Linked DNA regions of Struthio camelus. The protein of the gene in region 1 interacts with the protein of each later gene in a biochemical or structural test. Links are inferred from orthologs where the notes say so. Each region holds a gene or a part of one and is shown in the gene's direction. Other genes may lie near its edges.

Region 1 (8,613 bases):
TAGTCCTAGAAGGCAGAACATACTTCTGACAGGAAATGCAGGTTTAGTATATGCTTGAGTGGCCAAACCCAGCTATCTTTCTGACATATAAGCAGGCAAACAATCTGTAGTGATTGTCTTAATTATTTGAAGACCCACGACCCACTGTAAAGACACAGGGATGTTATTTGATAACAAAGATTGACTTGTCCAAACTAGCGTCAGTAACAAAGAACTGACACAAGAAAACACAGTTCAAGGGTACCAAACATCACCCTCATCCTCAACAGTCCAAATCAAAGCACTGTATTGCTGTGAAAATTAAGGGAAGCTGTAACAAGTGGGAAAACTGCAACTTTTATTCACATGGGATACTGCTGATCATTTGGTATGTATCTAAGCCAAAAAACCTCACCTTCTAAATTGCTACCTGATAACTTTATTAGAAAAAAGTGAACATGAATAAATATGAATTCTGTGAAACAGTAAGCTGCGAAACACACAGCCACTGGAGGCTGTAAAGGTCAAAAATGTAAGTGGGTTCAAAAATAAACTGTGTTCACACAAGACAGCAATTATCAACAAGTATTAGAAGAAGTGTCTAGAAGCAATTTCTGGCTCAATTCTCTAGACAGCTGCCAGAAATCACACAAGTATACTTGCCCTATTTCTTGGTCCTTTTCTTCAAGGATACTTTATGAGCTGCTGTTGGAATAGGAAATATGGTGAGCACACATTTGGTCCAACCCACTGGGCCAACCATAAGTCACAACACTTCAAAAATTCACCAAGTAGCTATGATTCAAGTGATATTTTACCTCAATAGGCATAGCACTTTTGGCCAACATTCTCTCTGTATCAAGAATTTTTATTGAGGCATCAGCTGATCCTGTAGCTATTAACTGTCCATCTCTGCTATATGTAGCTACACGACATGGTCCTTTATGAGACGTGACATAACAAGTTTCGTATTCAGAAGCCTCAGGAGACATGGTCTGTACATCTGCATCAAATTCTAAGTCAATTCCTGTGCCTGGAGCTACTGTATCGGACCGCCCAATTGCATATTGAACAGCACTGTCATCGTTCTCCATTCCTGAAAAGAGAGAAGTTGATGTACTTAAAATATGCTAACTTTCCCCATAGATGGATAGGCTGTGGCCAGATCTGTGCTACAGATTTCTCTAACATGTATACGAGGCAGGTGTTAGAAGAGATAAGCCCCTACTCAACAAAGCCAGGCTAGCAGAACACATTATACAGCAACACTTCTCACGAGAAATGAGAGCTAACTTGGCTACACTAGAGCACAACACGCTCTAGCAATTTTAGCTTTGTAATTTTAACCCTGGAAATACAACCAGCAAATATAATATTATAGTAAGTACTGATAAATGCACTAATAATCACTTTGGGAAGCCCTGGACAGACCTATTGCAAGCTTTTCTACAGAACGGAGAATCAAATCTCAACACTCTTACATGAGATTTAAAGTTAAAAACGGCAGCATTTACTAAGCCTTTTAGATTTTTGTTTTACTGGATCGAGGGGAAAAAAACCCATCCCACAAACCACCTCAGCATTGCTAATAAAAATCATTACTTCTGTTCGCACCCACCCTTCAGATTTAACTTTTTGATTTCCATCATGCATCTACAGGATAAAGACAGTTCAGCACTGGAACTCGTAATAAGGCAGGATGCAAGAATTTTCAGCTATGTGCCTAACTGTGCTCATCAACCTATCACAGGTGATAGAAAAGTTTTCATTGCTTTCATCTACAAAATGACTCTTGTATTCTTATTCCAGACAGATATAAAGCTTCATATATTTAAACCCTTGGAGCTCAACTAGTTCAGGCAGCAGAACCAGTTCAATTACAATACACAGAACACATGCAGCTATGTCCAGGCCTCTTGTTTTAACAGCAGCTCAGGTATTTTGACTATATACTATGGCACAGATGTACTCTCAGAGAGAGAGAGAGAGAGAGAGAGAGAAAATAGGCTGTACCCTTGCTGAGGCCCTAGAACATGAAGCTCATTTTTAATGAGACCAGTATATAAAGGCTAATGAACATGGCCTATGGAAGGGCTTAGTTCCTTTCCTACGCTTTCAGTGAGAATGATATTGAAAATTTTTCTACCATTGACAGAGAACTGTGAGGCTCACCCTACTTCTATTACTTCTGCAGACTCAATGATCCTGTTTACTGAAGCACATTTTTAGAAAGTTGTCAGTCACCCAGGACCCTGGACAGGTAATCTCACACGCTACAGAAGTTCAAACAAACAGATTTTGCCAACAGTCACTGATCTGTTTTGCATCCAGTGCATATCAAGAGAACAAATACACATGAAAACGTTATGGTACCGCTAAACTTAAGCTTTGCATTACCCAAGTACTCTCAGTAACATTAAACTCCTACCCCAAACGGATTTAACTACAGATCTAGAAACTGAACTTTTTATGATTTTTTTTATTCTAGCTTACCTAATTTAATTAGGTGCAGCAGTTGCTCAGATGGTGCACAGACTGATTGCGGTTTTATCTCATTTATCAAGCCATTGGCAATATTTATGTACCCATCATATAGCAGCTGACTAATGATTAGTTTATAAAGTTGCTGACGATCTTTCAAGCTGACTTTTGTTCTATACATTGTTAGCAAGGAATGCCTTGGAGGGGCCTGAAATAAACAAATACAAGAGAAAAATCACATACAAGAGCATTACATATAACAACTATGACCGTTGCATAAAGTACCTCCTGCTGAGCTTCACAGTAGGAGATCATAGCTAATGCTATCATGTTTCAGGTAAGATTCAGTATTAAATAGACAAAATTAAAAAATATAGGAAAACATAAGAAATCTGTTGCACTTATTTGCTGCAGAAATGAAAACATTGCCATTAAGTAAACGTTAACCATATTAAAGAGCAATAAAGAAAATGATGCGGTGAAAAAAAATCACAGCATTAGTTAGCAAAACTATCCTGTCAGTGTCTTTCATTTAGCCTCGCTAACACCAGCAGACAGGGGGACCTGGGCACGCAGAGCTAGGAAGATGATTAACAGAGAGCATTTTGACTTCCCTGCACATTAGCCACCCTAACACATACGTTCCCCCCTTTCATCCGAGGCTTTCACATCCTCTCCACACCTCCTCCCAGCCAGCACACGCTTCTCTTCGCCCTCTACACCCTCTCCCAGCCTCGAGTAATAAGACCAATAACCAATTTCGGGGACCAATAACCAGACAGGGAGGGGGCGTGGGGGAAAGGGACTGAATGAGGGCGGGGAGAGTGCTCAGCCGGAGCACAGCGGTCACAGGGAGCAGGCTTCAGACACCGGGGGCGGACAGGCAGCTTCGGGTGGGAGCTGCAGAGGACGAAACCCGGCCAAGGCAGCGGAGACGAAAGCAAGGGAGCGCCCAGAGCAGCGCCGGTACCTACCGACCCTTCCTTCTGCCTCCCTCGCTCTCCCCCTAAAATGGCGACCGGAGCCCTGAGCGCATCGATTGGCGGCGGCGGCGGCAGGGGAGGAGGTGGCGGCGGCGGCCGAGAGCGAAGAATGCTCCTCCGCGAAGGCTGCTGCATCGAGCGCCCGCAAATCGATTGGAGGCGACTCTTGAAGGAGAGAATTGCAGCATCACGTGACAGTGACACCACGCGCGCGCCCGGGCACTGGCAGGTCCCTCCGTCACGTGAGCGGTGACGCGCCAAGCGCGCCCCGAGCGCCCTCGGTGGGGGGGGGGACGGGGGGGAGAATGGGGGGCAGCGATGGGGCGGCCGGGGGGCCCCTCGGCGGCGTCTAGCGCGACCCGCCCCGCGGAGGGCAGCGCCCCGCCGGGAGAAGGCGCAGCAGTGTTCCCGGGTGGGATGCGGGAGGCAGGCCTAGGTGACCTGCGTGGGGGAGCCCCCTGGAGCTCAGGGCCGGGTCTTAGCAGGAGGGTGCCTCGTCTCAGGAGACCCGGGGCCAGGATTCTTTAGCGTCCCAGCTGCACAGCTCTGAAACGCTGCTTCTGCTGGGACACCAGTATCCCAAGCACGGGGACATCCACAGGGGCTAAAATAACAAAGTTTCTGGCATTGCTGCTCTGTGCTGCAGGCCTCTCTGATGAGTTCGACAACTTGGGCAGCACAGTAACAAGCACCTCACGCTGCCACACTTCACGGGCTCTCAGCAGGCTGAGAGCCTGTCCCAAGCGTACAAACACCACCCTCCCAAAAGTCCTACTCACGTCAGCCTCAAGAAACGGAAGTCGAAGTGGACGCGGGTCAAGGAGGGGGGATGCCATGCTACCCATGCCCCGTGGGAGCTGTCGTCTATCACATGCTGCAGCAACGCGACGACCTGACATCTTCTTTTTACCTATCCTGTATCACTTGTAAGAGCCGACACACCAGACTCGCCTTTGCGCTTGTTCTCAACGCTGCACAGCCAGTAAGAGTTGTCTTCAATCACGCTTCTTCAGAGGCTCAACGGACTCAAACTGGTTTTGGCTGTCGCTTGCCACTCAGTGGCCTGGGTCCTCCTCACAGGTGTGAGTAGGACCACTTGGGCAGCTGGCCACTGAGACAACACAACAGCCCCAAGCTCCTGTTACGCTTGCGCTCACAAACTGCACTGATCCTCCACTGTCACCGCTGTACCGCTGCCGCTCTGTGTCTCTTCAATACCTGCCGGGCTTTGGAAGCTGCCAGCAACCGCACGTCACCACTGGTGTAACACGACGGTCTGCTTTCCCCTTCACGCGTGTCTGCTGGCTGGTGAGGGTACCTCTGGCCAGGCGTCACCTCGCGGGCTGTGCGGTGGCGAGTGTCCCCTTCGCGCTCGTCCTCAAGAGCTCACGGCACGTGGAGCGCTGCCCTGGGCCGCACGTCCGGGCAACGCGAGGCAGAGGCCTGCTTCGCCCCTCTGCCTGTCCTGCGGGTCCGCCGGGCTAGGCAGCTGCCACCCGTGGCACCTTCCTCGCTGGCAGGACACAATGGCCCCGAGCCCCACTCACGCTCGGCTTCACGCGAGGTGGCAGCACAGCCTCTCCCTCAGCCCGAGCCGGAGGGTGCGTGTGTGGAGGAGGTGAGGGAAGCGGGTTCGTGCCTCACAGGATGCAGGACTAACCTGAAGCCCTTCCCCCCACAGCCGGCTGCACGCTCTGAGGCCTCAATGGCTGTGAGGAAGGGATGGTAGTTGTAGCGTTGCCACAGGTGGGTGGTCTGGACATACGCGATTTGCGTAACGGAAGACCCGGCCAAGCAGAGACTTGCGGAGAAAAGTGTGTAAACGGGGCGCCGATCCACGCACTTGGAGTACGGAAGGAGCCAGCGGCGGAGAGACGGTACGTAAAATACGCATGTAGCGCAAACACCGCCCTGGGGGCGGGCGAGTTGGCCCTACGCGGGATACGCAGCAGGCTGCCGTTGCGCATGCGCCCCAGAGGCTCACCACGACGAAGCGCAGCCTCGCAACGAGCGGAGCGTTTGGCGAGCCAATGGACGGGCGGGTCGGTGAAGAAGGAGCCAATCAGCGGGCGCGGACGGCGGGAGACGGGCCAATGGAAAGAGGCGGTAGTTTAAAGGGTATTTAAGGGAGGGCGGTTTGAATTCAAACAGCGTTGGCGGCCGGAGGGAGCCGAGGCCGGGGGTGAGCGGGCGCCCGGAGCCCGCGGCGGGGATGGGGCCCGGGGCCGTGTCGCGGAGGGCCGAGCCCGCGGGCGGTGCTGCCGGGAAGCGCAGGCTGGGAGCCGGGGGCAGGGTGCTGCGGCGCGGGAGCGCAGGCCCGGCCGCAGAGGCCGCCCGGCCCGCGAGGGAGCGGAGGGGCGCAGGCGGGGAGCGTCGGAGGGGAAGATGCGAGGCGCAGCGCTGCCCGAGGAGCTGGTCTGTGCTAACTGTGCCTCACGTGTAGGCTAACCTATATGTGCCCTTCTCCTCAGGCATCATGGACAAGAATACTAAAGAGAACCATTCTGGACACCATAGCTATGCTGCTAAGGTAAATAACTTGCTAGGTTGATTGTTCTGCTTTCTGTGATCATACAAGAGCTATAGACTTAAAACTGTGGTGACTACCACAGTTCTAAATAGTAAAAAAGGAAATTTGTCTTGAAGTAGCATTTCCTGTTTGCCAGAAACAAATTCCTATCTTTATCTTTCAGCTTCTCTTTTGGAGAGAACATTGCTCAAGGCTTGTTTGCCTTCTTGCTAGTATTGATATGTCATTCTCTAATTAAAACACTTTCCTGGTATCTTGCATATAATCTAATAGCCTTTAACTGAACAGCAAGTGCATGTGGGTAACTTATTCCAGATATGGTTTCCAAAAGCAAGTATTGTGTTAATGTCACTATTAGTATATCCATGTGGAGAGTGCTCAAGATAATCCTGACTGCATTATCTTTGCATACAGATACTTTCTCATTCTTTTAATTTAGAAACATGAGGCTTCAAAACTAGCATGAGTAAAACATATATATATATATATATGTTAATCAGGCTGTCAGTACACTTTCACTGAACTGAACCAGAAGATTAAGTAATGTCTAGGGGGAAAAAGAAGTAAAAATTATTACATAGGTATCATTAGAGGGTTTAAAATAAATGTGAGAAGCTAATTAGCAATATTTGAACTGAATTTTAGGCAAAGTATCCTAGAACAGCTAAGAATGGCTGAAGTATAAGCCTTAACTACCTGTAGCTTTCACTCCTTGGAAGGAAAAGATTAAAACCGGTTAACTAAAAATTACAGAATAAACTTTGTTCTGCTGAAATCTTCTTATGTTGCAAGGCAAATTAAGATGCATTCAAGAGAGCAGTGATTCAAAACAAAGCACAGTAGGCAAGTGGTAGGATTTGGAAGCAGGGGTCTGTCAGTCTTGCTACTGTTGACTGATACTCTTCAGACTTATGTGGAGTTCTTCCACTTGCTATAAGTGAATATGCTGTCCACAAGAAAATGTCAGCAGAGTAGTCTATAAATCAAATTTATCCTTAAAGCCTATGATCAGAATATCCTAACACCTCCCATTAGTGTGTCACATTCCCCTTTTACCCTGTCCCTAACTCATATATATGTTGTTTGAATGAGGCCATAAAGATTGTAGTATGCTCTTCCATAATTAGAATATCATGTTTTCTTTTTGAAGACTGTAAATCCCATCGGGGATGGCCCAAAACGTGTCCCTGTGCCTCAGCATTCTGCTCACAGCCGGTTACTAAGCAGTGGAGTCCAAGCACAACGTGTTCTATGTCCTTCGAACTTGGCCCAGCGAGTTCCTGTACAAACGCAAAAATCTGCACTGTCAAACCAAAAACTGTCCAACAACCAGACAGGGCAGCAGCCACGACCAAAATCTCTGGTCCAGCCAACTGCTAGGCCTCAAGTTCCAAGCAAGAACAATGAAAAACCTCAGCAGGCTCCAGGATCTGGTAATTAAGATGATGCATATGTGGTCAAATAGTTGTGACACTTGGGATGCTTCCATTCTATGAAGCAGAGTGCAGTACAAGAATTTTGAAGCTGATCTTAATGATATGTGGGAGTCTTGTACGGAAATATCTGGCTGCACCCAGAAACAGAATTGTAACGCTTGATCTTGGATGTTACTGCCAGGATTGCATGTTTAGAACTAATATGGGTGTTTCTTTGCTCTTGAAAAACTTCCAGCTACTTATTAGTCAACTGTGAATTAAAGAAATTGGCACTAATTCATCATGATCTTTATTACCAAAGATATTAAAATGAATAATAAAGTGCTGTATTGATGGTGGTGGGGAGGCGGGAAGCTTCTAAACATTTCTCTTGACTTAAAAAAGCTTTCTTGGAATTACATCTTGATAGCAGTGTAACTCAACTGCTATGCTGCCTTGCAATAGTAAGTTTATTTTTTAAAATATCACTGGATGGAATCTAAGAACTGTTGCTGATACTACACTGAGATTGTACTTGTTCCCCACATGCATTTTTTTGTACTGTGCTCATGGATTCGGTTCATAAGTTTCCCCTTATTCATATATAGCAAAAAATACTGAAGCAGAAAGCACATCTAAACAGAAAAATGAAGAGACCACTAAAAAGAAAAATGAAGAGACAAAGAAGTAAGTTGTTGTGTTCCTAAATGCTCCTAAATGCTAACAGAGCCCCATTTAATTAGGCTTTCTTTTAACTTCTAGGACTACATGCTACAACTAAGGAAATTAGCTGTAGATAAGTTCTAGTTAAGTACTCCAGCCCCTTGATTGAGAACAGTGTCCCAACACTTCATAGCTATAACATTTCTTAATGAAACTCTGGGAAAGCTTACTTGGACCTGAAAATTCTCAGGAACTGGAACTCCCTGTCATCTAAAGAAAAGCTTTTTGCTAAAAGATAACTCCCATAAGATAACTCTGATAAACACTAATCTAGTCACAGGATGTACAATTGAAAAATATGCCTCCTTCGTATGTGCAAGAGGTTGGAATCTGATTAGGGATGAATGAGACTCTTAGTATGGCTAGCTCTAAAACACAGTTCTGACATGCATTAGTAAGTGCGTGTGTATTAACTGTACTGAAATGTGCCTGGCTTGGTACATGCAGTTTTGACTTTTTTGCAGTAACACGTGGCTGATGTTAGCATCTCTACATGTAAGCT
Region 2 (7,594 bases), on another chromosome or scaffold:
CCTTGCCCCGGGCCTCGGCCGCCCGGCTGCCCGGCACCGTGTGCCTACGGGGACAGAGCGCGGAAATGAGCTTTTTTTCGCAGTTTCCCGTCAGCGACCGCAGCCGCGCCGTGCCCGCCCGGGGCCGGGCTTTCCCGCGCTGCCGCCGTACCCGGCCGCAGCAGCAGCACCTCCCCGTAACGCCACCCGGGCTCGTTTCGGAGGATGAGTTAACGGTGCTCGGAAATAGCTCCGTGCAACTGGAGCTAACGCGCAACGGCCAGGGGCAAAAGGGGCTTCAGACCCCTTCGCCCAGGGAAAGGGAGCCGGCAGACACTAATTACGGAGGCATAACTGGGAATTGGAGGGTTTTAGCCCTGCTCTTGGCACGCTCAGCCGCCAACCCCGCCGCTGAGGCTCTGCTACTCACCAGACGCCGACGGTGACGCCGGGCTCGGTGGTGAGATACAAGCTCACCGTGTTGTTCAGCAGCAGCTCCGGCTGCCGGAGGTCCACGAAGTAGGGGAAGGCCACTGCGGGAGAAGGCACAGGCGCTGCCGCCGACCCCGGGCGCCCCTCGCACCCCCCCCCCCCAGCCGGCTAATTCCCAAAGCAACGCGTGTCGCGCGCCAGCCTCCGAAGCGGGTGGCGTTTTTTTGGAAACACCTCCGGCCCCCGCAGAAGACGACGGCTGTTTTGTTCCCGGCTTCGGGAAGCGGTTCGGCCGAGCTCAGCCGCCCGCCAGCTCCCACCGCCGGCCGCTCGGGCCCGTTGGACGCTCTGCCTGCCCAGACGTGTTGCAACTCTGGGCAGCGAACGTCCTCGGCAAAACACCGCCTTGTTACAGCTTGCAAAACCGCGATGCACGAGCAGCAGAGACCCTTCCTTGCGTCGTCGACGGGCTGCGAGGAGCTGCCGTATTTTGCATTTCCTGCGTGTTCCCCTTGCTCCCGGCTCTGCCCGGGCGCCCGCCCGCGCCGGGCTGCGCTACCCCGGTGCCGCCGGGTGAAGCAGGGAGCTCGGGGCGGACCGAGCCGCGGGCACAGACGTCGCATGCAGCCCAACCCGGGCTTCGGGGGCAAAAATCAGCAGTGCAGGTCCGCGAGCTGCAGGCTCCCCGAGCCGGGCGTCTTCCTCGCCGGCTGCTCTCGCCGCCCTGCCCAAGCCCGGGGCACCCGGCCCGACCGGCCGGGCGACAGGGCTGAAGCAACGCTGCCGGCTCCCACGGCGCCCGCTGCCGCGGCCGGGTCACCTCCCGGCTCCGCGCGCCATCGGAGCCAAAGGGGTCCCAAAGGCTCGTCGTCGTCGTCCGTCCCCCCCCCACCACCACGCCAGACCGCGGGGCACCGGCTGTCCCGCGGCCCTGGGACACTCACGGAAGTTCAGGAAGACGAACTTGGTGAGGAGCACGGGGAAGAGGCGGATGAGGAAGGGCACAGACACGTAGATGAGGACAAGGTCCACGAGGAGGGTGCGGAGCCGGGGTCGCCAGGCCAGCCAGCCCCTGCAAGGCAGAAAACCCCGTGAGCGCAGCCCCTCCGTCCTTCGGGGGGGGGGGGGGGCGGACACACCGCAGTCGGGGTCCCCCCCTTCCCAGCCCCTGCCAGGAGTTTTGCAATAAAGAGTGAGCAACCCTGTAGGGCAGCACCCAGAGCCGGTGCCGGCGAGCAACGCTCCCAAATATTTCCCGCCCGCGCCAAGAGCCTGCGCGACTCCCCAGGGACGAGGAGAAAAATCCAGCAAAAGGGGCTCGGGTTCGCCGCAGAGAGTCAGCAAGCACTTAGGTAAAAAGTGGCGGCGGCGGCCCCGAAGGGTCGGACGCGTCACGGGCTGCCGCGGCCGCAGCTCCGCAGGCGACAGGGAGGCTCGCGTCCGACCCTTCGGGGACGCCGCCGTGCCCGGAGCCGCCCAGAGGCGGTGAGGGGCTCCGGAGGGGGCCGGTGCCGCTGCGTGCCCAAGGCACGGGGCCAGCGCTGCCCGCGGAGTCACGCGCTTAATTATTAGGTGCCACTCTTCATCTACACTTAATATGCAAACACGGGGGCGAGGGATCACACCCTGCTTTGCACAACGCCTGCTGCAACCGCGCCGAGGGGCACGGGGCAGGGCCGGGGTGCAGCAGAGCGGGGAGCCGGGGTGACGGCACCCGGGGGGGCAGCAGAGCGGGCAGCCGGGGAGATGCCTCCCGGGGGAGACCATGGGGACACCATCCTCGGCAGCTGGCACAGGCCTGTGGCCACGGCAGGGCACCGGCTGACACAGGAACGTGTCATTGGGGGTCATGGCCACGGCAGGGGGCATGCACAGCAGGGACCTGGCCATGGACAGGGGGACACGGGGACATGGCATGGGGGTCATGGCCACGGCAGGGGGCATGGACAGCAGGGACCTGGCCATGGCAGGGGGACATGGGGACATGGCATGGGGGTCATGGCCATGGCAGGGGGCATGCACAGCAGGGACATGGCCATGGACAGGGGGACACGGGGACATGGCATGGGGGTCATGGCCACGGCAGGGGGCATGGACAGCAGGGACCTGGCCATGGCAGGGGGACATGGGGACATGGCATGGGGGTCATGGCCATGGCAGGGGACATGGACAGCAGGGACCTGGCCATGGCAGGGGGACATGGGGACATGGCATGGGGGTCATGGCCATGGCAGGGGGCATGGACAGCAGGGACCTGGCCATGGCAGGGGGACACGGGGACATGGCATGGGGGTCATGGCCACGGCAGGGGGCATGGACAGCAGGGACCTGGCCATGGCAGGGGGACATGGGGACATGGCATGGGGGTCATGGCCATGGCAGGGGACATGGACAGCAGGGACCTGGCCATGGCAGGGGGACATGGGGACATGGCATGGGGGTCATGGCCATGGCAGGGGGCATGGACAGCAGGGACATGGCCATGGCAGGGGGCATGAGGACATGGCATGGGGGTCATGGCCATGGCAGGGGGGCCCAGTCACAGCAGGAACGTGGGGACATGGCAGGGGGGTCATGGTCACAGCAGGGACATGGGGACATGGCATGTGGGTCACGGCTACAGTAGAGGGCACGGTCACAGCAGGGACATGGGGACATGGTGGGGGGGTCATGGCCACAGTAGAGGACACGGTCACAGCAGGGACATGGGGACATGGCGGGGGGGTCACGGCCACAGTAGAGGGCACGGTCACAGCAGGGACATGGGGACATGGCGGGGGGGTCACGGTCACGGTAGGGGACACGGTCACAGCAGGGACATGGGGACATGGCATGGGGGTCATGGCCACGGTAGGGGACACGGTCACAGCAGGGACACGGGGACATGGCGGCGGGGTCACGGCCATGGTAGGGGGCACGGACAGCATGGACTTGGCCATGGCAGAGGGGTCACAGCCATGGCATGGGGGACGCAGCCATGGCATGGGGGACGCGGCCATGGGGTGACAGCCACGGCAAGGTGACAAGGCCACGGCAAAGGGGACATGGGGACATGGCCCCAGCTAGGCCATATGGCCCCGGCAAGAGGGACACGGCCCGGGGCAGGCGGTGGCACCGCACCGGCGGGGGGGGACGGGCCACCGGGCCGCGGGCTCGCACGTGGGGCCCGGCGCCGCGGCAGGTACTCACCGCTCCTGCGGGGCCGGGGCCGCCTTGGCCTTGGCCTTGGCCGCCGCCTGCCCGCCGGGGCCGCCGCCGCCCGCCGGGGCCGCCGCGTCCCCCCGCTCGCCGCGCCGCTTCATCGCGCCCGCACCGCGCCGCGCTGCCGCCGCTCCGCCGCCGCGCCGCCGGCCCCGCCCCCTCCCGCCAGGCCCCGCCCCCTCCCGCCGCGCTGCCGCCGCTCCGCCGCCGCGCCACCGGCCCCGCCCCCTCCTGCCAGGCCCCGCCCCCTCCCGCCGCGCTGCCGCCGCTCCGCCGCCGCGCCGCCGGCCCCGCCCCCTCCCGCCAGGCCCCGCCCCCTCCCGCCGCGCTGCCGCCGCTCCGCCGCCGCGCCACCGGCCCCGCCCCCTCCTGCCAGGCCCCGCCCCCTCCCGCCGCGCTGCCGCCGCTCCGCCGCCGCGCCGCCGGCCCCGCCCCCTCCCGCCAGGCCCCGCCCCCTCCCGCCGCGCTGCCGCCGCTCCGCCGCCGCGCCGCCGGCCCCGCCCCCTCCTGCCAGGCCCCGCCCCCTCCCGCCGCGCTGCCGCCGCTCCGCCGCCGCGCCGCCGGCCCCGCCCCCTCCCGCCAGGCCACGCCCCCGCCCTCAAACCACGCCCCCTACGCCTCGCCCCCGGGGCCGCGAAGACTCACCCCCCCCTCCCAGCGCGGGAGGCCACGCCCACTCCCCCTCCCGCCCCGCCCCTTTCGGCCTGCAGGGGCGGGGCTAGGTGGTGCCGCCGGGTCCTCGGGTGCCCCCGGCCGCACGGCGGACGAGAGAGGCCGGTAGCGCCGCCGCCGCCCTCGGATCCAGGCCGGGCTGGACTCGGCCTTTGCCCGGTGAAACTTCCCGCGGGGACTCCCCCCCCCCCCCAACCCCCGCGCCGCTTCCTTCCTTCCCCGTGGCCGGTCGGTGCTGAGGCCGCCGCAGCTCAGCGCACCGATGCGGCCGGAGCGGCGGGACCTGCGGGGTCAGGGGAGAGCCGGCCGGGGGCCGAGGGTGCCCCCACGGGTGGCAAAGCGACATAAAGGCGCCTGGGCCGCGGCGGAGGCCGGACGTGGGGTGGCAGCAGCGAGCCGCTCTCCCCATTGTTTTGTGCAGAAAAACCACAAAGGGGGAAAGTTTTTAGCTTGTTCCAGCCTCGGCTTCTTTGCGCCCTTCCGCAGGCGCAGACGGAAGAGAAGGAAACCGGAGGAGCCGGGCCGAAAACCCAGGCAGGGATTTGTCGTCGTCGTCGCCCGCCGCCGCCCCGGAGCCGGATTTGGGGCGGAGGCGCAAGGCGCAGCCCGGCCATCGCCTTCTCGGGGCTGTTTGTGCGGGAGGAGGAGGAGGAGGAGGAGGAGGAAGGGGGGGGCCGCCGAACAAAGCGCCGGATGGCTGCCGCTGCGCGGGGGCCTGAACCGGGCACGGGAAAGCGGGGCCGGGGGGGGGTCCGGGGGGGGTCCGGGGGCCGCCGCGTGTCGGAGCAGCAGCAAAGCCGCGGAGAAAAATGGCAAACGCGCAAAAACGGAAGCGCAAATTGCCGCGGCCGGCGCGACATCTGGCCAGGCCGGGGCCGGGGAGCAGGGGGCTGCGCTGGCCCAGCGAGGGGCTTCGGGGGGGGCGGGGGCTGCGGGCGGGGGGCCGGGACGGCAAGGAACTGGGGGTGATGGCAGCCGGGGGTGCAGGACGGTGGGGACCTCAGCAGTGCCACCCTGGGCTGTAGGACAGCAGGGAGCTGGGGTGATGCCACCTTGGAGGGCAGGAGAGCAGGGACCACGGTGATGGCACCCGGGGGGGGCAGGAGAGCAGGGACCACGGTGATGGCACCCGGGGGGGGCAGGAGAGCAGAGACCACGGTGATGGCACCCGGGGGGGCAGGACAGCAGGGAATATAGTGATGGCACCCAGGAGTGCAGGAGAGCAGAGACCACGGTGATGGCACCCGGGGGTGCAGGAGAGCAGAGACCACGGTGATGGCACCCGGGGTGCAGGAGAGCAGAGAATATGGTGATAGCACCCAGGAGTGCAGGAGAGCAGAGACCACGGTGATGGCACCCGGGGGTGCAGGAGAGCAGGGACCACGGTGATGGCACCCGGGGGGGGAGGCAGGATCGCGGGGAGCCGGGGGACGCCGGGCGGCGGCGGGGGGGGGGGGGGGGACCGCGGCGGTGCCCCCGGAGCGGGGGCGGGGGCGGCGCGGCGGCTCCGCCCGGCGGCGGCGGCGCACAAAGGCCGGCGGCCGCCCCCGCCCGCCCCCGCCGCCGCCGCCCCCGCCCCGGGGCCGCCCAATAAACGCGGCCGCATTTGAACCGGGCGCCTCCCCGCGAGCCGCGCCCGGCCGCGGCGCCCGCTCCGCTCCTCTCCGCACCGCTGCGCACCGGCAGGCCCGGAGCCCGGTGAGCCCCGGCCGGCGGCAGCGCCCAGCCCCGCGCGGGGGGGGGGAGCGCCCCGGGGTGCGGGGTACCGGGCCCCGGGGTGGGGGGAGAAGGAGCCGCGGCCCCGGGAGCGCAGCCCGCCCCTTCCCGGCAGCCGCGTGTGCCGAGGGGGCAGCGGGGTGCGTTGCTGGGGGAGGGGGGTGTTTTGGGGAGACGTGGGTGCTTTAGGGTGTTGGGGGGGGGAATGCTTTAGGGACGGGGCGCCCCCGTGGGTGCGCTGCGGAGGGGCTTCGCGGGCGGCGCTCCCGGGGGAGCGGGGCGCGGGGGGGGCCCTGGTGGCTGCGGCCCGGCCGGTCCCTTCCTCCCGGGGCTCCGGGGGGGGGGGGGGGAAGGAAAAAATAATAAAAAAAAGAGACTTTTGCCAAGCCGTCGGGGCCCTTCCCGTCCTGGGAGAGGGGCTTCACAACACCCCGGCCCCCAAAACGGCGGCGGGCGGAGCCGCGGATGGGGGGCCGTAGGGCGGCGGCGGGGGGGGGGTGAGGTTATGGGTGCGCTCGGCGCCCCCGGCCCCCCCCCCGCCCCCGTCGGGGGGCTCAGCCCGGCCCTGCCGCCGGCACCGACATCATGGCGCGTTTCCAGCCGCCCGGGACGGTGCTGGATAAACCGGCTTTTTGCTTTGTTCGCTTCCCAAATAATCCGCTTTTGGGGGCGGGGGGGGGGGGATCTACCTTGGGTTTTCTCCCACCGGCTTCTCGCCGGCCGCCGAGCAACATCCCTTGCAGCACCCCGACAGATGGGCGCATTGTTTTTCCTTGCTGCCGGGAAGGCTCCTTCTTGAAAGGACCCATTACAATGCAAATACCGAGGTGTCGTGAATATTCAAAACGCTGCCCTTCTCCTTTTTTTTTTTTGCTTTTTTTTTGGGGGGGGGGGGCCGCCCAGTTGCATAAATTTAGCGTGTGCTTGCCCTGCGGCCCCACGCGTGGCTCCTGCCCCCCTCTATCAACGGGGGTTGCAGATCGCTTCCAAAAAAACCAAAACCGAACCACTAAAAGCGTGTTGTGCTAATTGCATTATTTCTGCTTGGTCATGCTACTTACTGACCAGGTAATCCGCACCTTCGTTAGTGCTACGCTGAAGCTCCAAGGCTGCTATTGATTGAAGGCGCTAATTACCACTTAAGCCTATACTAGCCGAGTTAAATTTCGCTTAGTGTTCAGTGACGGCCGGGCCGCTGCACCTTGCGGGCTGTGAAGGTGATCGGGCCCTGCGCAGAGGGCAGGCGCAAAGGCGGCACAGAGCCGCTGCGGAAAACTTGCTTCCCTCGGCGTCCGTGGGCCTGGGCGCTCGGCTCGCCCCGGGGAGCACAGAGCGCTCGGACTGCCGCAAACGCCTGAGGGGCGCTTGTAATCCCGAGTCGCTTTCCTAGGCCTGGCGCTTTGTTTTTCCTCCTGGAGAAGTTTGCAGAGGGGTTTTGTGCTGTTGAGCTTGTTGCACGCCTCTGCGTTGGGTTTCGCTGGGAAGGGGCGTTTCCAAGAGGTGCTGTTCCCCCGGTACCTCCAGAAGCCTCCCGGGGGGGGGCCGCGAGCGGCTTTGCCCCCGTTTTCCCGCGCCGGCGACCTCGTCGTTTTCG
Region 3 (7,645 bases), on another chromosome or scaffold:
AGCATACTCAACAGTGGAAAGGAACTTACAGCTCACTCTGCTGGAGGCAGAGGATGATTCTCGAGCTGCTGCCTTCTTTGAAATGGCCCTGCTGATAGATCTCCGGATCATGCTCTCTCTTTTGCTGGCCAGTGAATATTTTTCTGCCAAGGAGGACCTACAGCCTTTGTGGGGGCCACCCACAAAGCTTCGGCGCCCAGAGCAACGGCGTGTTTTGGCTCTCATAGCGGTCATTTTGTTGTCAGAGTCCCGGAAAAGCACGTTTTCTAGGCCTTGAGGAGACCACTTTCCTTGGTCTGTGGCAGGATCTCCATTTCTAGCAGCCTTGGGAGTGGAGGTACTTGCTCCTCTTCCGGGGGTCTCTTCCCCCTCCCTTGCTGTCTGGCCACCAGGGACCACAGTGACAGATGACACATCAGGCAGCTCAGTAACTCCAGCCCCCGTGGGCAATCGCTCTCCTGCGACAGCCTTACCGGCCCCACGTCCTATATTGGCCCTGTCTCCCTTCCCTAACTCGACCTGAGGGAAGTCGCTACAATCCATTTTTGCCACTGGAACTTGCGCTTCTGCTGGCCATTTCCCAGTCAGCGCCACTGGCGGTGCTGGAAGCTCTGTTTTAACCCTGGCCTGAGACCCTACTGCAGGGTCGGGTGTGGACACCTCTTCCCCCAGACTGCTGGGGTTCGGGGGTTGCTCTTTGCTGTGGCGTTTCTGGCAACCTGGCTTGGAAGACACTAGCTTGACGCTGCTTCTCCTTCTGGACAACCTTAGATAAAAACAATAACGTTATCAAGTGATGCAGAAATCTCCCACTCCCAAATGATTTTGGAGCAAAGAGGAGACAAATTTCAAAATGAGCCGACTGGCTTCCTCCCTCTGCCCCCTCCTCCCCCCCTTTTATCACAGTTCAATCAACCATGTGAGCTCCCAGATGTGCTCTGGCAGGTTTAGCTGCAACAATTCAGAAGTTACTGCTCCCCACAGCCTGCAAGATGTTTTTACTTGATGTTACCGTTCTGTGCCATAGGACATATATAGTCTTACTGCAACCATGCCCGCTTTCAGCCTGGCATGCTGGATTTACTCACAAATAAAGGTTGTATCACATGGACGTAAACTGCAGCGGTTGAGGTACCGGGACGCTCACTGCTCTGTGCACAGAGTAACCCTCAGCCCCAGCTGGGGCTGACATTAGGGGACAGTATGTTCAGACAGGTACAACTTAACCCATCCTGTTTGCCCTGAACAAAATACACACAGCACAACCAGACAGGAAGGAATTTTGGGCTGAAGATTCGCAGGAACGTTTATACAACTCAGTCTCCCAGGATCAATTTTACGTGGAAATCTCCCCAGTAAATCTCGCCTAGGAACAGCAGGTTACCCTGCTCTCTAGCAGACTGCCCAGCGTAAAACAGATAAGCACTGGGGAGGCAGGGGCCCAAGCACTGAGACAACATTCACTGCTCTACATGCAGAGTTTGCAATCAGCTTGGGAAACAGCGATGTCGCAACACATGCGGTATCTGACAGCGCAATCCAGAGGAAGACAGCAAAAATGTACATGTATAGTTACGACTCTAAGAAGTTTCTTAAGTTATTGTAATTTAAGGGGAAAAAATATCAGGCTCAGTAACTCTCTCCGGCTATGTTGCTTCAGTTAATCCTGACTAGTTACGCAGAGGCTTGGGGAACTCCGGCAATGAAATCCCGCTCGCCTGCACTGAGTCGCCAAGAGAGGACAGAACCATGCATTTGATCAGCAAGTTGAGGAGATCAGCTGGACCAATATAAAAAGCAAAGGACGATTTCAGCACAATCAAAAGAAAGAAAGCCTCCAGCGCCAAATAAACCCAGTGATAGTTACATAAAGGGTGGAGATCAGAAAAAACACAACAGAGAGCTAACATGAAAGTGCACGTCAGGTGGAAAACGTGGCTAAGAAAGCCCACTGTGTCATAACCTAGCTAAATTAACAAGGCTTCATGGTCACTGGTGGAAAACCGGCAGTGACTTGTCCTGCAACCAATATTCAAACTGATACCTGCTGCCCTCAGTCCACTCTTGGGCTCTTAAATTTCTTATTTTGACCTCTAGCAAAAAGGAGCGACTGTTAAGTGGGAAATCTGAAGTTAAAAACGCACAAAGAAATGTGTTAAAAAAAAAAAAAGACATACTGAGCAGAACAGAGAGCAATGGAAAAACAGTCGCCTGACCCCACAGGATATAGTGCAAAGGGCTGAACTTCAGTATGAACTTCCTGTTGGCAAATGATCACCATCCTTTTAGGCATTTTGTCCTATCAGGAGGAGAGCTTTTGCAAAACTAACTTTAAACGAGGAGAAACGTATGGAAGATTTGTCTTCTTTAGAGGAGCAATCCAGCTGCCACATTTGACTTGGAAACTAACAGGATGTTTTAAGAGCTCTCCCCATTTAGATCTTCAACATTTTCCTCTCCTGCCCTCCTTAACCACACGCATGCATGAACTTCCCACGCTTCCTTACTATTCTTGCTCTTCTCCCCATCCTCCATGTCTTGTTTTTGACAATCTTACAGTTCTAACCCTTCCTGCCCAACTCCTGTGGGCTTTTTCACCATGGTTATCAAATTCTCAGTGCCTTACAACCACAAACAGCTTACTAATGCCTGTCGGATCAGTAGGTTTTGGTCACACTGCAGTGATTGTCTCCGTGTCTACTCTCAGATCATAGCACACTCTTCCCTGAGGGGAAGGTTACCTTAATTACCTTGCCACAGACCAGGAGATGGGCAGACGTACAGCTAGTTACTACAAAGCAGTGGCATCAGGCAAGCTATTTAGCATCAAAGCCATCCCCGATTATACCTGCAGTTAAATCTTGCCCAACATCATCTTGCCTCTGCATCCATTTGCAGACAACTGTCGTCGAGAGGACGGTTCCCTCACCCCCCAAGATAAGCAGGTCTTCCATATAGTAAGTTTTAGTTTGTTTTCTAGTGACTGATATGACAGAGGAGACAAGGCATTTTTGTACATATTCGGTAACAAGTTCCATTCACAGGTTCTCAGGCACCAATACAAAGATTCAGGGTGTGAACACCAGGAGCGACCTCAGGCCACAAGGCATGCTGGAAAAATCAAGTAACCTAACAAAAAACCCCAAACAAATGAGAAAATAGAGACAAACATTTATTATTCTTTGTTTCTAACCAGAAAAAAAGGAAAGTGAAGGAAACCCAGCAACTGTCTTCCAAACATTCACAACAAACACATAAAGTTGACCTATTTTGGAACTAGATAGGTCATATCTAAGTATATTTATTAACTCAGGAAAATAAACTAGCTTTTTTTTTGGGGGGGGGGGTTACAATTCAATTTGTTCCACCCTTAAAAGTTTATTTTTCATTTCCTATTTGCTGAAGGTTACAGCCACGCAGCAGAGCCAGAACATGAACCGACCCACCTACCTCCTCCTGGTTGGCTCCTTGCTTTCATCTTTGAGAGAGGAGGACTGCCTTTTCTTGGGACGCCTCCTCTGCGACGGCGTTTTGGGCACTAACTCAGGTTCGGCCCCAAAGTTGCTGTTGGGCAGGCAAACGCAAGAAAGACAAGATGGCCTTCCCCTCCCTTGCTCCCCACCCGCCAACCAGGCCATCCGCAAAGTAACACACGCTCAAGGAGGCCAGCTGGGTGAGAAACAGGTGAACGAGGTGCAACAGCCACCAAGGTCCCAAACAGAGGCACACAACACACCAAACCACTTGGCAACACTACTTTCCTCACAGCAGGCCACCAGGGCACGTGGATTAAGCTTACAGGAGGAGAACGGAAGCTGAAAGTGCTGAGAACAGGGAGCTTTTTTTTTTAGGAGAGGGAAAAGAGGCCAGCTCCGAGGGCAGCCCCTACCTATCCAGCAGCCTCATGCCCTGCTCCTCAGCCTGCTGCAGCCAGGCCAAGTGCTTGTGCTTGGCGTCGTGGAGGAACCTGGAGAGCCTCTGCCCACACACCTCCAGCAGCCGCCTGGGGCCATCAGCCTCCGCCATGGCCTGCCTAAAACACAGCAGGGCAGGGGGGGGAAAAGGCACTGGCACCCCAAAGCCAGAACAGGCCCGCCACACTCCTCCTCAGAGCCCAGGCACGAGGGCAAGGCCGAGGCGCCCTGAGGAGCCCGGCCTCGACGCCGAGGAGACCCAACCGCCTCCCTCCCGCCCTCCCTGAGGGGAGGCAGCTCCCGCCCAGGCACAGGCCGCGCCTCACCGCATAACGCCCTCTCACAACCACAGCCCTTCCCCCCTCTCACCCACCTCCGCGCTGAGGTCATCACGGCCTGCGCCAATCAGAGCGCACGTCCCACCCCCCCCGCCCAGCCTCTTATTGGCGGTCGCCTCTGCCCATCACTTCCACCTCTCCCTCCCCCCCCCCTTTAAAGCCGCGCAGCCGCCTCGACTCCTTCCCTCCCTTTTCGCTTTTTAGGCGGAGTCCTCCACGACCACAGATGTCGGCGCCCAGAAGGGCTCGGCTGTTGAGCGCGCCTGCGCCGCCAGCCAATAGGAAGGGCGGGCTCGGGGCGGCGCGCAGGCGATAGGCCGGCGGGGCGGTGACGCCGGCGGGGCGGTGGGCGAGCGTTAGGTTTGAATTCCAGGCGCGCGGCGCGGCGGGAAGGCGGAGCCGGAGCTGGATTCGGGCCGGGCCGGGCCGGGCCGCGCGCGGGTGACGGGCGGTTGGGGCGGGGGCGGCTGAGGCGATGGCGGCGGCCACGGGCCCGGCGCAGCTGTTGGCCCTGTGTAACCGGCGGCTGGCGGAGTTACTACGGCAGGTGGACGACACCGACCTGGTGTGGCTGCGCGAGATCCGCGATGAGGCCGCTAGGATGTTCAGCAGGTACCTTCCTCCCCTCTTCCCCCCCCCCCCCCCGCCGCCTTCCCTCACGCACCGGACCGTTAGGCGCCGTTAACGGTCTCTCCCCGCACTGCCCTTCCGTCTCTCTTCCCCCCCCTCCCCCCCCCCCCCCGTGCAGCCACTACAGCGACGAGCCGGAGCTGATGCCCAAGACGCCGTCGCAGCGGAACCGGCAGAAGAGGAAGCGCCTGTCCGTCCTGCAGGACGAGACCCAGGAGCCGAGCAGGAAGAGGTAAGCCTGGCCCCGGCCGCCCCTGGGTGCTCAGGAAGCGCCCCCGAGCTCGTCCCCTCGTTGCCCGCGGCCCTCACGGCAAGGAAGACCCCCGCTTCCAGCCGGCCGGACCCCCCCTCACCCCCCCAACCCTTTCCTCGCTGGTGGAAAGCCCGAGGCGAGAAGCTGTGAGGTCGGTGCTGCCTGGGCTCCAGAAAGTCCTAAGCGAAAAGCAATTGCTTGAGAAAGATCCATCGAAGGAAGCCTGAAGACACGAGGAAGCTTCTGAAAACCTGGGAAAACTTGCTCGAGAAATGAAGATCGCACAAAAGCGGTCTCCTCCCCACGCTTTTTCCTTTAATACTTGCTCCTTTGTACTTGTATCAACTATGTTGCATTCCAAAGCTCTTATTAACCTAGTGGTCTAAGCATGTTATAACATCAAGGTTCTCAGATAACAATGCACTGTGTAAGTATCCTGACTTTTGTCACTCAGTTTCTTTTTATATCTCTACCTTTCATCTTCCTCTGGCTCTCTCTTCCCTCAAATGGTTGTGTCATTTTAGTTACTTTCTGTGTATGTTGAGCTCTTGTATTGGCTCTTGCACATCTTTTAGCTTTGTTGCCCTGCACGTTCCAATTTATCTCAGGAAGTGCTTCAAGCCCTGCGCTATTTCTAGCGTGTGCTATACAGAACACTAGTAAATTGCTGTACAGACACCCCACAAATACAGATGTAAACAAAGTGTTTTTATTTACTACGTTCCCCATCAGAAAACAGCTGTATCTAACCTGCAAATGAATGGCTACCGGGCTGCTTTGGTAGGAATTTTGGGTCTATTCCTGAATCCGGTTCCAGTCTAACGCCCCGTTTCTGTTGTTAGATTATCTAGACGGCGGAAAAGCAGTATCAAACCAGTAACCTCCAAGCGATATTCTCAAAGACTCCAAAACAAAGAAACCTTGGAACTAATCAGGGTTGTGGCTGAAGAAATCTCCCCATCTCAGCAGTGGACAAGATCCCAGACTGCAACACCTGCTAAGTGCTCAGAGATCCCTACTGAGAAGAAGCCTTCTGTCCAGCCAATAGAAGGGAAGATTCCTTTAGTAGAAATTGGTGTCAAAGATCGCATCAGTGCAGAGTTACACCTGCAGAAGAGCGCATCTAAATCAGCAGAGAAGGTCTCTACAACCATCCTCTTGAGCCCGAATGATGATTCTCCAAAGGAAAGCAGTGCTGCAGAATTGCAGCCTGTGCCTGCAGCCTCTGTGCTGGTGGTTCCTCATACCCCTGAGGCAAAAGATGCAGGAGAAAGGGGCGCTTCTAAGTTGAAGACAGCAAATGCAGCTGATACTATGGTCGTGGTAAATGAAGAGGCTAAGGCGGAGGAGGTAGATGTCTCCGCTCAGGTGCCAGAGCGTAATGAGGGGTCTGAAAAGGAGCTTCCCCAGTGTATAAGGGATAGCCCAGGGACTCCTACGGGCTCTAGGTTGAGCCGTCGCTCTGTGCGCAGAAGTCTGATGGGTAGACCTTCCATGATTCGCAGGACCTCGTTGGCAGAGAAGTACTCCCTAGCCAGCAAAAGGGAAAGCATGATCCGGAAATCTATCAACAGGACAATGGTCAAGAGGAAGGCAGCTCGAAAGTCGTCTGTGTCCTCCAGTCGCGTGAACTGTAAGTTTGAATGTTTCCAAAAAAGTTTGCTTTGCACCATTCCTACTTACTTTGTTGCTCTGCTGCTTTCTCCTGCTGAAGAATTACAGAGCTAGTTCTTCCCCCTGGGTGCAGCAGCTGATCTTCCTAGGTTAGACAAACATTCGGTTAAATGTGAGGGTTCAAGGTGGCTTTGTAGAAACCTATCTGTATAGAGAACCCTTTGACGAGTTAACTGAGCTAACTAATAACTTGTGGCCTACAGATTCAGCCTTGTATATCGTGTGGGAGAATGGTCTTAATGTCTTCTAAGTTTCTGTGGTGGCTGCTTGCAAAGTTAAAGAGGAAGCCAGCGGATGGAGCTCTTAAGCAGCTACTAGCAGCGACCGCCCCTTAAGAGGGATATGGGCTCTGACAAAGGCTTGCATGTTTTCTGGGAAACAAGGTAGCTATATTTTATGAATCTGCTGCTCTTTAAACAGAATCTGGCTGCTAGCTCTAGAGCCTCTGTTTTGAGAAGGAAATTTTGAGACTGAACTCTGTAAATCCATTACAAAAGTTTGGAGGACTTCTAAGTTGCAGTAGAGACGGATTTCTGTGAAGAACATAAACTGACTTAAATGTTCCGATTCAATTGCTTTAAATGATTTAAATGCTCTTGCTACTGAATGCAATCATTGGATTTACTGCAGGAAAACCAAGTGATGGATATCACCTCTCTTGAGCTGAGCAACAGGCAACAAATAAGTGACTATTAAATGGTGAACTAATAAATGGCTCCTGAAATGCAGATGATGGAAGAGAGGTCTTCTGTGCAGTTCAGGGTGTTGGAAGTTCAGGAGAGACTGGCTCTTTCTTTTGCATGGCATACTTGGTTTTTAAGGGTAGTACAGCTGAA
Region 4 (7,641 bases), on another chromosome or scaffold:
GCGCTTGGAAATCCTGTTGAGGGTGACTGCATCGTGTGAAGACGCTGTCTGCCCCATTAAAAGCCAGCTCGCCTGGCCAGTGCAGCCCACAGGAGGGGACAGGTTTGTTCTGCAAGGCTCTGAAGTTTTATGTAAGTCAGCGTTAGAGGAAGAAGCCTGAGCACCTAGAAACAGCACAGTCTTACAGCACTGACACAAATAAAATGTTGCTTCACTATAGCAGGGGATGAGAAGAGTCCACTACAACTGCCCCCATCAGAGATAGCTGCAGTGGGAAGCGATCACGGGCAACTTTTACAACAGGGCTGCCACCAGCAAAGCAACATACACGCACGCTCTCGGGCAGGAACCTCACTCCAGACAGTTTGATAACAAAGTTAGCACAGCCTGGTACACTGGTGACTTTGGTAAAACACCTTCGTCCCAGCTGCTGCTGCATTAAATCAGGACAGCTCTGTGACTATTACAGGCTTCACACGATGGTCAAGAAAGGTATTTCTTACAATTAATAACACAAGCTGTAATGCCTGTGACTCACGGGAAAATTACAACGTGGCTTAACATGAGCCAAACTAGACACCAAGGGAATCACTTCTTACACCAGAAAGATGCATGAAGAGCTTTAGCTGTCGGGAAACACCAGCCATGCTCCAGAGTTACACTGCTGCACTACTTACATCTGGAAAGATCCTCAGTCCCTGGGCTGACACTGCCCACGTACCAACCAGCCTAACGGTGCACCAACCGTCCACCTGTCTGTCCATGCAGAGCCACCTTAGACTGTCCCCTCTGCATCTGCAGGAGCGACCTGCCTCTAGTGATGTGGTATCCAACAGCTGGGAGTAAGCATTAGTTGCATTCAAGATCTAATGTTGTACCAAACACACATAAGCAGACACAGCACTGGTCTGAACAGCGGTAGAGCGTGAAGCAGGGCATGTGCTGTGCTGGCCAGCGCTAACGAGACAGGGAGCCAAGCCATCCTGCCTTGCAGGGAACCCACCCCTTTCTGCAGCTGGCACCACAGCCCAAACGGACCTTGAACGACCGCACAAACAGATGGACGAACGACCTGAAAGGAAAGGATTTGTTTCCCCTCAAAGTCTTCAGAGGTTGTTTGAAACCACTTCTGTCTCCTCTCCACTCCTACAGAGGATGGCACTCAGCTGAAACATGGCCTGAGCTTCCCCTTCACTCAGCAGCGATACGCCAGCACGTGGAGTGGACGTATCCAGGCTTGCCGTGAACAAGCTAGCGTGGGTATTGCTAACAGCGTGTCTGCAGCATCCGTGGCCTCAACCTGGACTAGCCCCACAGTCTTGACCCGGGCCCCCCACTGCTCTCCAGGCTGCCTTCCCTGTTGATAGCGCTCGCCTCACCAGCTCCAGTGTGTCTGCAGGCAGGCAGAGCTCTGGCTTCAGAAAAAATACACTTATGAGCAACAGGTTTTTCCAGCCCCAAAAGCTAGAGGTACCTGTAACTACTGCAGCACAAGCAACGTAACACATCTTGCTGAAAAGTAGAGAAGTCGCTCATTTTGATGTGCCTTTTGCCTCTGGCTGCCTGGGGCAGACCATCCGTCCTGTAGCTCTGACGTAAGAGTTTGAGACGAGAGCTCCTGAAGCTGTCGCTGAAGCTTGTGGTATTTCTCAATATGCCATGTCACCTTTCCTTACCAGCAAGGCTGGAAGTGAAACTACAGTGTTTACTATAAACAAAGCACGTATTTTAAGGCTCTGTTGCCTTATTTACCTCCCCTGGGTCCAACACTGATAACCACCAGAGTGTCCCAAATACTATAAGAAGCAGCAGTATGTCCTATAAGGCAGATGTCTGGGGGTACAGACATTTTCAGGGCAGGAACCTGGCTTTCACTCAGAATCTCTGGTGAAAAGGTCTCATCAAGCTTCTGACTTTTTTTATGAAGGAAAAGCAGGAGGTAATTCAAAAACAACAAAAGACGTCACAACACATACAGATCAGAAAACATGTCCCAAGATACAATGCAGACGTGAAACTTGGAGCTTGTTTTAAAAAAAAAAAAAAAAACTGGAGGAAGACTCCCAAGTTCCTGGAAGGATGATAACATGCACAGGACATTAACCTCAGCACTTGCGTACCCAGAATCTCAGACTGTCTCCAAGGCTGTAGGTTAGGTCACATTGTGCAACTCAGGACAGACGCTATCTGCAGTACGCAGTTCCCGCCCGCCTTCCTCAATTTACTCTTGGCACTTTTTAAATGCAGCTACAGCTATACTACTGTACACTGTAAAAACCTCTTTTAATGACATTAAGCCAAGTGACCACTTTATCACATTCTTATTGAAAACCACAAGTCAAAATATTGCTTTCACTCTTGCCAATGCTAAAGACTGTACTAGATATTTCGCAATGTGTTGTGCTTAGGTTTTAAAGAGCTAGTGAGGTTATTTCCTGAGTGCCTTGGCTTTCATTGAAACAGGAATAATAAGGATGCAATCTTTATGCTTGAAGGAAAAAAAGAAAACTTCATCTTAATTGTGAATTTGTGAATTTGAAGCCAGCCTTGTGATCTGTGCAGGCCTAATGCGTGACAGGATCCAAATACTCTTAAAATGCTCTGGTACAGAAAGACATGCAGTTTTCCTAGACAAATCCTGTTTTCCCTCACTGAATAGAAAGCCAGAGCAAGATTCGTGACTTCTGTAGTAAGTGCGTACCTGATCACAACTTAAACGTTACGTGGCAGTATTCCCATGACTTCTGTCTGAGGGTACAGACCATGCTCGAAGCTGTTGTCTCCCAGTTATCACTGTAAATCAGGGATGTCTGGAACGCTGACTCACAACGGAAATGGTGGAAAATGAAGTACCTGCGCTGAAGTAGGAGCAGGCAAACACTGTGTCACTTGGAGCTTGGCTGGCCACGAGCCAAAGACCTTGGGCTTGGCCTATCCTAGGGGAAAAAAAAAAGAAAATTAATGTGGGGACGTTAAGATGATGTGTTCACTCTGAATAGGTGTTGCCCATTGTATGACACAAGAGCTAAGGCGCCACTGCTTCTCCGACACACGGCTCGGCTCTCCTCCTGAGAAACCACACAGCAAAAGCAGGTGAGCAAATTCAGCTAAGTAAGCTCTCCTCTCAGAGAAAGTGCAAGTTCAGACACATCCGTGGGGGCATACCTTTATACTTTAGCTTTTCAAGTTTTTAGAAACGGGGCCGTGTTCCCCCGAGCACGTGGCTAATGGCCAAACCAGCCCTGACAAGCTCTACCTTTGGACACTCCCTCCCCATCTTCGTCTCGGTACAAAGTTTTCTCATTTCTGCTGCGTGAATCAGCATTTCCTACATCAATCATTTGCTTTAACAAATGGGACCTTTAGGAGGAGACTCGGTCCTGAGAAGAGGGCGAGCGAAGAGATGCATTTTGGTGCGTTACGAAGAACGCTTTAGGGCGATTTACCGGCTGTGCGCTTCGTAGCTGAGCTCTGAATAAAACAAGTCGGAGCTATTGCTTTACCCCTGCTCACCGCTCTTTACTCGGGAAAGCAGGTTTTGGAAGCGGTGGGCGGCGCATGCAGAGGCGCATGCAGAGACGCTCTGGCCAAGCACTCTTACTGCAGAGGGGGCGCCAGCCGCTGCAGGAGGGGAGGCGCAGTCGACGTGCTCTCCCTGGCTAAGCCACGGTTAGTCACACGCGCCACGCGGGGAGAGGCACCGCGCAAGGCCCGGCGCCTCATGAAAGCCTGGTGCCTTGAGCGCCACGCGAGGCCAGGCACCCCCTGAGACTGGGTGTCACGTGAGGCCGGGTGCCACACGAAGCCGGGTGCCGCAGTCACCACGCGAGGCCGGGTGCTGCAGTCACCACACGAGGCCGGGTGTCGCGGTCACCACACGACAGCGGGTGTCGCGGTCACCACATGAGGCCGGGTGCCGCGGTCACCACACGAGGCCGGGTGTTGCGGTCACCACACGAGGCTGGGTGCCGCGGTCAACACACGAGGCCGGGTGTCGCGGTCAACACATGAGGCCGGGTGTCACGGTCACCACACGACAGCGGGTGTCGCAGTCACCACACGAGGCCGGGTGCTGCGGTCACCACACGACAGCGGGTGCCGCGGTCACCACACGACACCAGTGTCGCGGTCACCACACGACAGCCGGGTGTCGCGGTCACCACACGACACCAGTGTTGCGGTCACCACACGAGGCCGGTGCTGCGGTCACCACACGAGGCCGGGTGTCGCGGTCACCACACGAGGCCGGGTGTCACGGTCACCACACGACAGCGGGTGTCGCAGTCACCACACGAGGCCGGGTGCCGCGGTCACCACACGACACCAGTGTCGCAGTCACCACACGAGGCCGGGTGTCGCGGTCACCACACGACAGCGGGTGTCGCGGTCACCACACGACACCAGTGTTGCGGTCACCACACGAGGCCGGTGCTGCGGTCACCACACGAGGCCGGGTGTCGCAGTCACCACACGAGGCCGGGTGCCGCGGTCACCACACGAGGCCGGGTGCTGCGGTCACCACATGACAGCGGGTGCCGCAGTCACCACACGACAGCGGGTGCCGCAGTCACCACACGACAGCGGGTGTCGCGGTCACCACACGAGGCCGGGTGCCGCGGTCAACACACGAGGCCGGGTGCCGCGGTCACCACACGGCCCGCCCGCGCCACCCGCCGCAGCCGGCAGCAGCCGCCGCGCGCAGCAACAGGCTCAGGCTGCCGGCGCGCGGCCGGGCGCGGCGGGGCGGGGCGGGGCGAGGCGAGGCGGTGGGGGGCGGGGCGGAGCTCATTTGCATGGTCCAATTAGAAGGCGCTCATGCAAATGTGACCGGCGCGGATTGGCCGGGCGCCGGCAGGGTCCAGCGCGCGGGGCGCCGGGCGGTGCAGTCGGCGGCGGGACGCGGAGCGGGTGGGACGCGCTCGCCATGACGCTGGAGGAGCTGCCGGGGGACCGCGGCGCCGCCGGCAGGTAGGGCCGGCCGGGAGGGCGGCGGGGGCCGGAGACCGGCGACCGGTCCGGTCCGGTCCGGTCCTGAGCGCGGCTGTGTCGGCAGGATGGAGGCGGTGGGCGACGCGCTGGAGGAGGTCCTCAGCAAGGCGCTGAGCCAGCGGAGCATCACTATCGGCGTCTACGAAGCGGCCAAGCTGCTCAACGTGTGAGTGCGGCCGGGCCGGGGCGGGGGGAGGCGGAGGCGGCAGCGGCGGTGTCTGAGGCGACGGCGTTTCCCCCGTCCCGCAGGGCAGCCGACAGCGTGGTGCTGTGCCTGCTGGCGGCCGACGAGGAGGACGGCCGCGACGTGGCCCTGCAGATCCACTTCACGCTGCTCCAGGCCTTCTGCTGCGAGAACGACATCAACATCCTCCGCGTCAGCAACCCGGCGCGCCTGGCGCAGCTGCTGCGCGCCGCCGGGCCGCCCGCCGACCTCCACTGCGTCCTGGTCACGGTGAGCAGCCCCCCCCGTCCCACCCCCGGGCCTTCCTCCGCTGCCCCTCGCTGGCCCCGCAAGGCAGCGGCGCTGGGTGTTGCCGTGAGGGTCGCCAGGTAAAGCGGGAGCGTTAGGGGGTGCAGGCCCCCCCTCCCCCGAGCCCTTGCTCAGGGTGCAGGGGCTGGGGGCGTCCTGTGGGCGGATCGGGAGAAGCTGCCTGTGAAGGGCTCGGGAAGTTGTTTGTCATCTGAGTGTGAGCTCAAGGATGCACGGCAGGCTTTGTGCATGCTTTTCTCCTTGTTTTTCTAATTCAAGATAAGTGAAGTCTTGGATTCTCTGCTTTGTGTCTTCGTGGGGGTCGTTTTTCTTAAAGCAGCCCCGTTTCTCCCTTTTTTTTCCAGCACCCCCATGCCTCCCAGTGGAAGGACCCGGCGCTGAGTCAGCTGATGTGCTTCTGCCGGGAGAGTCGCTACATGGATCAGTGGGTCCCTGTGATTAACCTTCCCGAGCGGTGATAGCAGCCGGATGGAAACTCGCTGAACACAATTGCACTGAAGTTTTGAAATGCTTTAGCAGTTGCTCAGGAAGTAACTCCCTACCCTGACACAAGGATTACAGGAGGAAAAAAAATAAATAAATAAAACTGAAGTCAAGTGGGGTAGACTGAAGTCAATCTACATGTTGTGTGGGACTGAAGAAAAGTGACTCCGCAGCTGGCAAGCGATGGGAATGAACACGGAAGCGAAGCTGAACGAGCAGCCTTTGTGCTGCTAAAGGAATTAAAGCCTGCCGGAAAAGCTGAGACACTGTATGGCTGAGTTACTTAAAACACCCAACACCCTTAATGGTTTTTTAAAGTGCAACTTAGAGTTTCTGGTTTAAGTACCTTAAACATGAAAGAGCAAAAAGGTTAATCAAAACACTTTTACACACAATTTTATTGTATTTTGGGATGTTAATTCTCAAGTTTATATTCTAAGATATATAATAAGTTATTTTATGATATTGATGGAAAACTTATTTATGCTACAAGCTTTCAGAACCAGAGTACCCTTAAGCAGTTGGTCTACAACCATACCACTTCTTTTAAAGACAGCTACATTAATATAATTGTTTGAAATTGAATAGTGGTGTTTTTTTTTTTTTAAATAAAAAATTTAACCTCAACTCCTTTGTACTAAGTCTTACTTTCTTGCATTCAGTAGTGTGCCCTCAAAAAGGCTCAGCTGGTGACTGGGGGCCCTTGTCAGGGACAAGAGTGCTGCATATTCAGAGCTTGTGCAGGACCTAAAATGGCACGTAGGCTTTATTCCTGGCCCCTCCTACAATCGTAAAACTAAAAAGTAGCTGATGTTTTGCAGGTACTGCTACTTTTTTTTTCTTGACCACTGGCACTTACAGCACAGTTTTAAATAAATAAAATTAACTTTAGAGGCTGCAGCACTAGTAGAGGGCCTGAATCCTAGTGAGAGTTGGGGAAACCTGACCTGTTTCAGTAGCAAAACTTTTCTTAACGTCTCCTCTTGAGAAAAGCTGTTAACCTGGTTGGCTGACCAGTATTACACCATATCCCCAATGCAAACCCTTCTGCCCTTTCCTGAATTTGATCTTTGTGTTGCTCCTGCTTATGCGTCAAAGCAGGGGAGGAAGGAATGCTGGCTTGGGAGGGTGCAATGATTGCAATCAGTGTGGGCATCCAGTTCCTCCCAGGAAAAGCTGCTTTGCTTCCCTCGCTCCAGTCTCTTGGCACTTCTCAAAATGCAGTTGCCTTTGGCCCATCCCATTTTTGAGGGACTCCAGACCTGTCCATGGGACTCCCACCACTTCTATGACACTACCAGCACTGTTAGCAGGGCCCCTGTCTCCTGCATAGCTGCTTTTTCCTTTCGGAGGTGCTTTCCAGCAGCAGTAGAAAAAGTCTACTGTCACTTTTCTCTCCAGGAGCTTTAAAATTGCCAGTGTGGCTATTACTTTGCTCAGCCTTGTGCTTCACTCTGCTTTAAGGACTTCAGTCCTGCTTTCCTCCATAACGCTTTGCCTGCTCCCTTGCAGCCACCAGGGTTACGAGGTTTCTGTGCTAGGAGTTAAACCCTGCTTCATGCTAGGTGGGTGGGACAGTTCAGGGACAGCTGCCAACTCGTTGCCTCTTTTACTTACATATACACACGCATACCATAATCCCGGCGACAGAAATCTGTCTCCTGGCCCCAAAGGAG

Evidence for each region.
Region 2: of the proteins of AURKA (region 1) and NIN, one has a biochemical effect on the other in vitro, tested with the Homo sapiens proteins (2 studies listed by BioGRID). The link is inferred for Struthio camelus from reciprocal best matches to the Homo sapiens genes AURKA and NIN.
Region 3: the proteins of AURKA (region 1) and INCENP form a complex in vitro, tested with the Homo sapiens proteins (3 studies listed by BioGRID and IntAct, with this or other methods). The link is inferred for Struthio camelus from reciprocal best matches to the Homo sapiens genes AURKA and INCENP.
Region 4: the proteins of AURKA (region 1) and GADD45A form a complex in vitro, tested with the Homo sapiens proteins (2 studies listed by BioGRID). The link is inferred for Struthio camelus from reciprocal best matches to the Homo sapiens genes AURKA and GADD45A.

What each region holds. Positions count from the first base shown.
Region 1 is NC_090959.1:12,393,759-12,402,371, reverse strand, and holds the start of AURKA (aurora kinase A), read left to right. Parts: upstream 1-5,530; 5' UTR 5,531-5,625; intron 5,626-5,914; 5' UTR 5,915-5,919; coding exon 5,920-5,973; intron 5,974-7,123; coding exon 7,124-7,406; intron 7,407-7,996; coding exon 7,997-8,075; intron 8,076-8,613. Other genes in the region: CSTF1 (cleavage stimulation factor subunit 1), read right to left, coding at 798-1,075, 2,473-2,668, 3,435-3,608, 4,223-4,342. UniProt on the Homo sapiens protein: Mitotic serine/threonine kinase that contributes to the regulation of cell cycle progression.
Region 2 is NC_090946.1:80,847,772-80,855,365, forward strand, and holds the start of NIN (ninein), read left to right. Parts: upstream 1-4,349; 5' UTR 4,350-4,443; intron 4,444-4,694; exon of another isoform or gene 4,695-4,818; intron 4,819-5,875; exon of another isoform or gene 5,876-5,982; intron 5,983-7,594. Other genes in the region: protein ABHD12B, read right to left, coding at 1-44, 410-512, 1,356-1,483, 3,601-3,713. UniProt on the Homo sapiens protein: Centrosomal protein required in the positioning and anchorage of the microtubule minus-end in epithelial cells. May also act as a centrosome maturation factor.
Region 3 is NC_090946.1:7,624,650-7,632,294, forward strand, and holds the start of INCENP (inner centromere protein), read left to right. Parts: upstream 1-4,477; 5' UTR 4,478-4,727; coding exon 4,728-4,864; intron 4,865-5,000; coding exon 5,001-5,114; intron 5,115-5,977; coding exon 5,978-6,768; intron 6,769-7,645. Other genes in the region: inner centromere protein A, read right to left, coding at 30-766, 3,451-3,564, 3,890-4,026. UniProt on the Homo sapiens protein: Component of the chromosomal passenger complex (CPC), a complex that acts as a key regulator of mitosis.
Region 4 is NC_090949.1:37,060,313-37,067,953, forward strand, and holds GADD45A (growth arrest and DNA damage-inducible protein GADD45 alpha), read left to right. Parts: upstream 1-4,831; 5' UTR 4,832-4,924; coding exon 4,925-4,968; intron 4,969-5,053; coding exon 5,054-5,155; intron 5,156-5,238; coding exon 5,239-5,443; intron 5,444-5,826; coding exon 5,827-5,940; 3' UTR 5,941-6,592; downstream 6,593-7,641. UniProt on the Homo sapiens protein: In T-cells, functions as a regulator of p38 MAPKs by inhibiting p88 phosphorylation and activity.